Linked DNA regions of Saccharomyces cerevisiae S288C. The gene in region 2 interacts genetically with the main gene of each other region. Each region holds a gene or a part of one and is shown on either strand. Other genes may lie near its edges.

Region 1 (3,649 bases), on a different chromosome or scaffold from region 2:
CAACCCATTTGTATATATGTTTTGAGTTTTCCCGAGGATTTATTTTTAAATTTTTTTCACTCTTGAGAGCACCTACATCTTCGACATCTCCTTTCTTTCTTGAAAGTGCCCTCTTCCACAACGTAGGATTCCTGGATTGAATTAAAGCAAAACACTGTCATAGATAATATTCGAGGAGATTACACCTCTTACTAAAAGTTAGTAAAGAGAAAATAGGTTAAGGATGTGACAATTTCACGTACGATTATCCAGTCAACTTCCGATGTTTCCTTTTGTTCCATATCTTCCAGTTTGCCTCTACTCATGTCCTTACTCTTCTAAAAGATTATTTAATGAAACTGTTTCACAACTACAAGATGTTTGTTATGTTTTCTTTTACAAGTCGGAAACATTTAGCCGCCCAGCAATATATATGACTCCGAAAGAAAATGAAAGGAAATACATACATAGTAAAATAAATCGTTTAAACATAAATAATCGTACAGAGGAAAACATTAAGGAAGGAGAGTCAAACTAATGTACTGGGAATTTGGATCTCCCATAAGAAGTATGCGCAATACTTTTATTCATCATATAGACTGGAGCTGCGTATCATTTCTTCAATCATTTTCAGAAACCCGTTAACATCACTATCCTTGTTTTGAAGGCTTTGATAACTATTATTACCACCATTAATTGTGCATTCTTGCATGTGCAACCTCGAAATTTTCTTCATTTTTTGAACCAATTTTTCGTAATTTTCAATTTTTTTCTTCATCATTGTGTTTTCTTTGCTTATTTGGTCAAATTCCCTTTGAAGTTGTAATTGTGACATTTTCTTTCTCTGTCGACACTTGGAAGCGGCAATTCTGTTTCGTTCTAGTAGCCTTGCACGCTTCCAAGCTTTAGCACCGTCTTTCAAGCCTGCAGTATTGTTCTCTATTTTTTGGGGTCTAGCTTCCTGCTTTATTTGGAAGGTTGCTGTAGTGTGCATAGAGGAGAAGGGCGCGGTATGTACGTCTTTCTCACTATTAATATTGTTTTTCAGTGCAGAAGTGGCATCCTTGTATTGTGGTTTTGAGTTGGCATGTGTTAAATTGACATCAGGGCATTTCGATTCGTATGGAAGGCTGCTTGAAATATTCAACTCGGCATTTTGGCAGGAATTATTAACAGTGTGGTGATTAACGCCATGGGAAATTGAAGAATGGACGGATTGATTTTCGATATTATGATCATTAATGTTTTGGCAGGAAGAAGAAGAGGAAACGGAAGAATTAGAGGCTGGAGTACATGGATGCACATTCAATTGAGCGTTTTTCCATGCCTTAGTTTGCATTTGAGCTTGTAATCGGAGTTGCATGTTGATGTAAGCCTGATTCATTGTGGAATCGCCAGATGGGATAGAAGGCGTGGCAGAAGGAATGTCACAAGTGGCTGCTACTGCGGGTATGTTAAGCTTTATATTGCTATCATACGGGGTCATTGCAGCGTAGATATTCTTGCTACCTGTTTGAGGTGCAGCTTCGGGTATGACTGTAGCTTGTTCGTGTGGTTGTGGCACGTTTTGCAATTCGTTCGAGCTAAAGCTTGGGTATATGGCTGCGCTTGGATTTGCCACCTGTTGAGGATTGGGATTCTGTTGCGCCTTAGACGATAGGATCGGAGGCTGACAGTTGTAAAGATTTTCAACCGTTTCTAAGTCTTCGCCTAATTGACTAATCTGACCATTGGAGATAGATATGCGTCTTTTGTACACGGGCTGATCAAACGCTGGTAAAGAACTTTGAAAAATGGGAGGGTTGGTAATGGGAAGATGGCTGATGTCGACGCCAAAGGGTTGAAACATTGGACCCAGGTTTTCTTGCACGCTACGGTCATGCAAACTGTTTTGGTGATGAAAATTGTAGGCAGAATCCACAAGACCAGGACCCGATGGTTGTTTGTATATAAGCTCCTTGTTTGAAGATAGAAAATCTGTATATAAGAGTGGGTTCTGCCTTCCATCTAGGAAAGAATCTGGACTTGTAGCAAAATTATGCTTATAGTCCATACTTTATTTGGTTCCTTAGTCGTTACCTGGTGTTATTCCAGTACTATTAATATAACTCAGTACAATTAGCTGCCGTGAAAAAAAAAAAATAATAAGAATACAGTTTCTGCGCTTTTAGTCGGTAAGCACTCAGATTGAGAGATCTAGATTTACTATATTTTAATAATAACCAGTTAAAGCAGATTTTGAAGATGAACTAACATAAAAAAAATTGATGAATTATGTAACATAATCTTCTGTACCACCAGGGTAAATCGCCAAAGAATATCTGCATCTAAGAACAAAAGAAAATGGTGCCCTAAATATCTTTCAGATGAAAAACTAATTATATATCACTACTAAAAAAAGCCAGAAAAAGAAAAAAAGTAAAATAGAAAATAGAAAATAGAAAATAGAAAAATAGAAATTAAAATTAAGAGCATTTTAAAATTAAGTCTACAAAGTAATACTTGGCATATTGCTTAACTCCTCACGCAGAGCCTTAGCGTACCACTATTTTATCTGATACCACAAAAAGCTGCGCTTTGATGGCCCAACGGGGATATAATCGCGCCACTGCTACTCATGTGCTGCAAACTAACAGTGCCAGCAGAAGCGAGCATTGAAAAACTAAACTTTGCCTTGTTCTGCTTACTTCATGCAGAGGTACAGCTTCGATGTCCTAAGGTTGAACATCATCTTGCTTCGATTTCGGTAGTAATCATTTTGCCTGCACGCCATTGTATGAATCTCGTGCCACTCCCTTTTTAACTCCGAGATACAACTTTCCGTGGGGAAAAGTACCGTAGTATTGTAATTTCGAGAGCATCTTTACGGTAATTGCCCCTCCACACCCAGACGTTACACAACCCTTAGTAAACAGCTGCGGAAAAAAAGTGTGCCTACGCACTGTACGACTCCTGATTGATTCCTTCATTAGCACTGACTGGCTTACGGTGCACATAAGTTATTAAGAGCAGTTTAATTCAGTTGCTGAATAGTCACGTTGATGAGCACGAATACCTGAAACACCAACGGTAATGAATCAATTGGCCTAGCGCATCGTTGTGTGCTTGGGTGTGCCGCACAATGGCAACCAAATACTGCTCGTTCCTGCACTTCGAAAGAAAAGCAGCCAAAAGAAAACGCGTTTTCCTTTGCGAGCGCTGGTTTGTTCCTCAGTTTGATAGAGGCGTTCAATTGGCAATTTGGGCACTAACACCGATGATAACAAGATATCTTGACTTTGACCTCTGATATTGAGGCGTTCCAACCAATAAGAGGGGCTGACGGTTGAAAATAAGGGTAAAAGAGAGCTATTCGGGTTGGGTCGCAGATTAACTTAGAAAACATGTACATGCAAATGTTGTTTTTTACGTACAGAAAGAGGCTGATGGAACCAAAGGAAGCAATAATTTGCACCTTGATATTTTGCGCTTTCTGCTTTTGAAACCTTATTATATGCCTTTACATATACTGTCACGCGACATTTTCACCTTCTACAGTGTTTAATGAAAATCTGGCTTGTGTGCATTATCTTTTTTGTGAAAGTTTATCTCCGCTTAAACAAAGCGATTGAATCTTGTCTACGTAATTGGGCTCGTGGGACCAAAAGGCTACTATTTTCCAGGAAATTGA
Region 2 (2,485 bases):
TTAGCCTTTTTTTTTTCGCTCAGTCATCGGGGCCAAAACAAGAAAGGCGAAGAACAGAAAAATGAAAAATGTAACTGGTTGTTGTAAAAACCTTCCAGAGAAATAAGATGAAATGTATGTTGCTGGCACGAACGAAGACAAATAATGGGAGTGAAGCAAACCCCACCAGTCCAGGTGAAAGTAAGCGACGCGGATTCCACCAACAGAAGGAAATCTAGTAGCCAGGAAGGAAACCCTCAGCTGGTTCAATTAAAGGCAAAGAGCGACAAAGATAAAAGAAAGGGATCTTCAGATTCCACTGCCTCTATAATGGGCAGTTCCAACGCACTTCCGACCAAAAACCTAACCACGCCTCCAGCACTAAACCCCTTAACGACCAGCATTAGTAGGGGTAATACTGCATACGAAAGAAGCGTAAATGGTAGCCGTATAACAATGCACTCAAACCTGGCACCTACGGAGACGCAAGACGTATCATGGTCTGAAATCGATACACTGGATGATGTGAAGAAGATGGCGAAAGAACCTATCGTCAACGACGGGTTCCCACGAGATTTTGAGAGCAATCTCACGCAAATGCGCAAGTCGCACGCTCAACTACTGCGATTAATGAGGGAAAGAAATCAGCGACTAAAGTATGCCAAGCTGAGGAGCCCTCCTCATAAGGATCAGCATAATTCTGCCACGAATAAAGATCAAGAACCAGACGAGGTATTGCATGACCCGGAAATCGCACTTGACGGTGAGAAGTACGTGAGCCAAGTTGTCGATACTATTAAAGATGTTCACCGATGCTGATGACATGTATGGGTTGAAAATATTTAGAGGATGCTAAAAGTCCCGTCTAAAATAGAGGAAGTCATGGATTACATTATCACCTTTATTGTCCTGTTCCGTCTGGCTAATTTGGGACGAGGAACGTTTGTCTCCATTCGCAACCTTTTGAAACCATATGAACGGCGGCTAATCTGACAGATGTCTTATATTTCTAGGATTGTAGAAAGCCTCCTCATCAAACCACCTTGTTTGAAAAAGGCACTAGTGCGGTTGCTTTACTTGATCTAGTATTCTCCTACCTTGGAGCGGTCCCATATCAACTAAATTCAGTTTTCTGACTGAGTTAAAAACTAATGTAGCGACACCACTTCCATTGGTGCCTCCGTTATTTTTTTTTTGTATGTTAATGCTAAATAATACACCGCTATGTATTTCAGGGCACTACTTCTACACATCAACGGTACTAAACATTTCGCTCAAGATCGGTCCGCTTTCACGTATTTGGATGCTATGCAATGTTGACTATTCTTAGTGGATAACATGCGGCATTTCCTGGCGGCTATTTGCATCGCTATGTAAGTGGCAATGTTCGGATGTGGGTAGTACTTTCAAAAGAAAAAATATTACTGAAGAAGGCATACTACGCCAAGACTATTTTATTCTCAGCACTTGTCCTACGTGGGGTTAGAGGCGAGTAAGACTTTGGCCCCGCTGCGGAAGCAAAGAGAATTTTGCCATCGGACATGCTACCTTACGCTTATATCTCTCATTGGAATATCGTTTTCTGATTAAAACACGGAAGTAAGAACTTAATTCGTTTTTCGTTGAACTATGTTGTGCCAGCGTAACATTAAAAAAGAGTGTACAAGGCCACGTTCTGTCACCGTCAGAAAAATATGTCAATGAGGCAAGAACCGGGATGGTAACAAAAATCACGATCTGGGTGGGTGTGGGTGTATTGGATTATAGGAAGCCACGCGCTCAACCTGGAATTACAGGAAGCTGGTAATTTTTTGGGTTTGCAATCATCACCATCTGCACGTTGTTATAATGTCCCGTGTCTATATATATCCATTGACGGTATTCTATTTTTTTGCTATTGAAATGAGCGTTTTTTGTTACTACAATTGGTTTTACAGACGGAATTTTCCCTATTTGTTTCGTCCCATTTTTCCTTTTCTCATTGTTCTCATATCTTAAAAAGGTCCTTTCTTCATAATCAATGCTTTCTTTTACTTAATATTTTACTTGCATTCAGTGAATTTTAATACATATTCCTCTAGTCTTGCAAAATCGATTTAGAATCAAGATACCAGCCTAAAAATGTCCAATAACTCATTCACTAACTTCAAACTGGCCACTGAATTGCCAGCCTGGTCTAAGTTGCAAAAAATTTATGAATCTCAAGGTAAGACTTTGTCTGTCAAGCAAGAATTCCAAAAAGATGCCAAGCGTTTTGAAAAATTGAACAAGACTTTCACCAACTATGATGGTTCCAAAATCTTGTTCGACTACTCAAAGAACTTGGTCAACGATGAAATCATTGCTGCATTGATTGAACTGGCCAAGGAGGCTAACGTCACCGGTTTGAGAGATGCTATGTTCAAAGGTGAACACATCAACTCCACTGAAGATCGTGCTGTCTACCACGTCGCATTGAGAAACAGAGCTAACAAGCCAATGTACGTTGATGGTGTCAACGTTGCTC
Region 3 (3,338 bases), on a different chromosome or scaffold from region 2:
GTCGTTTCTTGAAAAAGAGTACTCCATGTCCCAGTGGTAGACATTACCCGTTCCTCCAACCGTAACAAATTCTGTTGCAGAGGTTTGTGAGAACAGGATATCGACAACGGAATCGCCGCCAGAATGGAACAACTTGGCTATTTCGTTTTGGATCGGTTCCTCGCCGTTCTGCCTATGTGTGAGGTCAGTAGTAGCCAGTTGCACAGCACGCGCATCCCATAGCTTGATGACACCCGTGCTGAACCCAGTGACAAATAGGTTTTCAGTAACTTGAGAGGAATCGAAGGACGTTAGTCGTCCATTTTTCGGTTCGCTTAGCGTCCAAAGCGGTTTGTCCGCTGTTCTTGTGTCCCAGAATCTTAAAATGTTGTCATCTGAACAAGATGCAAATAAATGGTTGTTAAAAAATCTAACTGAGTGAGCCACGTTGGTCCCTGGAACGTGCACTGTACGTAATATATCTCCCGGTCTATCGGAGTTGTCGATGATTTTCAAGATGCTGTCCTCCTCGTAGCCGTTACTTTGTGACTTTACTACCGTATCCATATTTGTCGACACATCAAAATCTGACACTGCTAATGAACCTGGTCTGGTTAGAGAGTGAATACTAGAGTATCTAGTAGCAGGGCCCATCATTTCCTGTACGATATGAACGGGAACCTTGATCTCATCTCTGAACCATGCCAAAGAGCCGTTCTTGGACATCGCGATCGCCGTACTGTCGTCTGAGCTTTCCAAGTATTGCATTTTTGCCACTGTTTCGCCCTGGTAAATCCACTTTGGGCGCAATGGTTTCCCCTCAACATCTTGGAAAGCATCACCATACTCTGGATTTGGGGTGGCTGCAGACTTCGTCTTGCCGTTACCTTCTTCGTCGTCGTCGTCGTTGTCGTCGTCGTCGTCGTCGTCATAGAATGTCTTTAATGGTAAAGTAGTGTCTATTTCGTAAATATCACTACCTTGAGAATATAAAAGACTAGTCGTCAAGGTGCCCTTGGATTTGTCTGGAATAATCTCACTTCTCCATGTCAGTGTCTTGCTAAAATGTAAAACATCGTCGACTCTTGTGCTGAATTGTGGTTTAAAGCTAGAAATGTGTTGGTATAAAGAAGGTGCCGGTTTACGGCGTGCTCCACTCGCACCCTGACTGGATTTGCTTTTCGCCATCCTCTATCCTTTTTAGTTCTTGCTCCCGTCGCTACTAATTGCTCCTTGTCTTATAAGTAAATGTAGCTGTACAGCAGAGATGTTCCATACGTCAGCTAACTAATTGCCTTTAATCTTTTTTTTTTTTATTTTTTTTTTTTTTCAAAAACAATAGAATTGAAGATGTGAGATGGAAAGGGAAATCAAAGTGCCATAAATGGTAAAGGCTTGCATTATGACCCGAATGGGTAAGAATGATCCAATGAGAGTCTGCGGACGCATATGTGCGGAATATGACTTAGCAGTTCGAACCCCGAACGGGGCTAAAAAACCAAAAGGACAAACCTTATGCGGAACATCTACCATCTATTCAAGGGAGTATAGCTTCCGTGTAGACTATAGAAGAAGCGTTCCAGTCAATTCTACTACATCAGTCTTCCGACATCGCTGATTGTATCCTAACCAGGTCCACAACTAAAATTTGTTTTGAAAAGAGTGGCTAGAGAGCGAATACGTGCTCTGTAATTGTGTGAGGCAAGTTGGTCGTCAATTGGAAAATAAGTAAGGAAAACCTTGTGTAGATTGTATTGCTCCTAACAGGTCCCGAATTACTAGGGCATATACCAGTTAGCCCAGAGTTTTGTTTATTACGATGATAAAGTTGCATGAAGTGCCTCCAGAACCAGTAGACCCTGCTAGTCTCCCTCATGATGTTAATGCACATAGCCCCGAAGGAGATGGTAATCCTGATAAGAGGAAAAAAATATTTGGCATTCCGTATCCTTTTTCCAGGAGTTCATGTCGGAGATTCCTTTGGAACTGTCAAAAGATTTCGGTACTGCCCATGGCATTGTATTTCCCACTACATGCAGCAAATACATTAATCACGCCGGCAGTATCACCTGATTCTGCTCCTGACGACGTTTTAATGATGGTGAGAGAGATTTTACCGTCCATAACTACCAAGCTGTTAGTTGCGGGTATTACTCTTCATGTTTCTGCTGGTGTCTTGCTCCGAATCGTGAACAACTGGAACAAGCCAAGAAGAAATAGACATCGACATTTAAAGATATCGGCCGAACAAGATCTATCCCAAGATTCGATTGGTTTAACTGGTGGAATTTCTGGCTATTTATTTGGATTGTATAAGACCTTCCGCATTCCTCCACAAGTGATTAGTGGATACATCCTTGTTCCCGTCCTGATATACCACTTATTAATTATGAAATGGGTGCCGAATTCCATCTCTACTGAGGTGGATTTCGCCTCTATAAAGCAATTACTATCTAGCAAGAACAGGTGGTGGAAATGGCTTGGAGGCCTGGTGCCGTTAGCTATTCTCCTCGAGTCAGGTGTATATCATATAGGTTCGGGGCTCTGCCGTTATTTCGGTGTTAGAAAAATGACTAGCAGGAAAAAATGGTCCACAGCTATCAATCTATTAACACTCGTTGGGTTCGTTTCTCTGATTAGATTGATGAAAGAGGATTCTACGAAACTGGGTCCCAACCAATTCGAAAGCATTTTCAAAAAGATCCGGTTGCTGTTGCACGTGAATTAGGAATCCTTGTGGGAGTAGTGTGAAGCTATTAATTTGCGACAATTCTCGAACAGTTAATTATATTATTCTCAGTATTTATTTTAAATTTCTGTATTTTTATCTGATTAATAACATTAGTGTGCATAATGAAGGCAAAAAATTTCGGCAGAAAGTATATGATTATGAAAAAACGTAAAATACATATACACATAAAACGTACATACATATATAGATTCCTAAGAATACATTATTGATGGGATATTTATACAAAGATGCACCTTCTAATAATCGAAAGAGAAAGGAAAGACAGAAGCATAAAATAATTTAGGTTTTACTGTGACGAACATTAGACAGATCGTTCAATAGTTTGTCATATTTTTTTGTCACTGTTTCATCTTCAACAAGGGGCCTCTGCAAAGGCGCCTTTTGTTGTGATTCTTGTAAACTGTCATTACTCGGGCTTCTAGAGTTCAATTCATCTCCATATAATGATTCCAATCCAACCTTTTCAGAGGTAACATTTTTAATCAGATCATCTACAGAATCAATACCCTTAGCTTTAATAATGGCATCCCTTAATTCGGCACCGGTAGGAATCTTTGGTAAGATTTTTGGCCTTGTACCAGATGTGCGAGAGGATTCCCCTTTCTTT

What was found.
Region 1: mutations in YBR196C-A (region 2) and ACA1 together harm fitness less than expected from each alone (positive genetic interaction), as found in Saccharomyces cerevisiae (one large-scale study listed by BioGRID).
Region 3: mutations in YBR196C-A (region 2) and MCP1 together harm fitness more than expected from each alone (negative genetic interaction), as found in Saccharomyces cerevisiae (one large-scale study listed by BioGRID).

Annotation. Positions count from the first base shown.
Region 1 is NC_001137.3:239,470-243,118, forward strand, and holds ACA1 (Aca1p), read right to left. Parts: upstream 2,033-3,649; coding exon 563-2,032; downstream 1-562. Other genes in the region: MEI4 (Mei4p), read right to left, coding at 1-154, 243-305. UniProt on the Saccharomyces cerevisiae protein: Transcriptional activator of promoters containing ATF/CREB sites. Can independently stimulate transcription through ATF/CREB sites. Important for a variety of biological functions including growth on non-optimal carbon sources.
Region 2 is NC_001134.8:613,516-616,000, reverse strand, and holds YBR196C-A (uncharacterized protein), read left to right. Parts: upstream 1-1,827; coding exon 1,828-1,977; downstream 1,978-2,485. Other genes in the region: YBR197C (uncharacterized protein), read left to right, coding at 145-798; YBR196C-B (uncharacterized protein), read left to right, coding at 1,371-1,475; PGI1 (glucose-6-phosphate isomerase), read left to right, coding at 2,101-2,485.
Region 3 is NC_001147.6:766,238-769,575, reverse strand, and holds MCP1 (Mcp1p), read left to right. Parts: upstream 1-1,798; coding exon 1,799-2,707; downstream 2,708-3,338. Other genes in the region: WTM2 (transcriptional modulator), read right to left, coding at 1-1,167; HER1 (Her1p), read right to left, coding at 3,011-3,338. UniProt on the Saccharomyces cerevisiae protein: Recruits the lipid transfer protein Vps13 to mitochondria thereby promoting vacuole-mitochondria contacts. Involved in mitochondrial lipid homeostasis.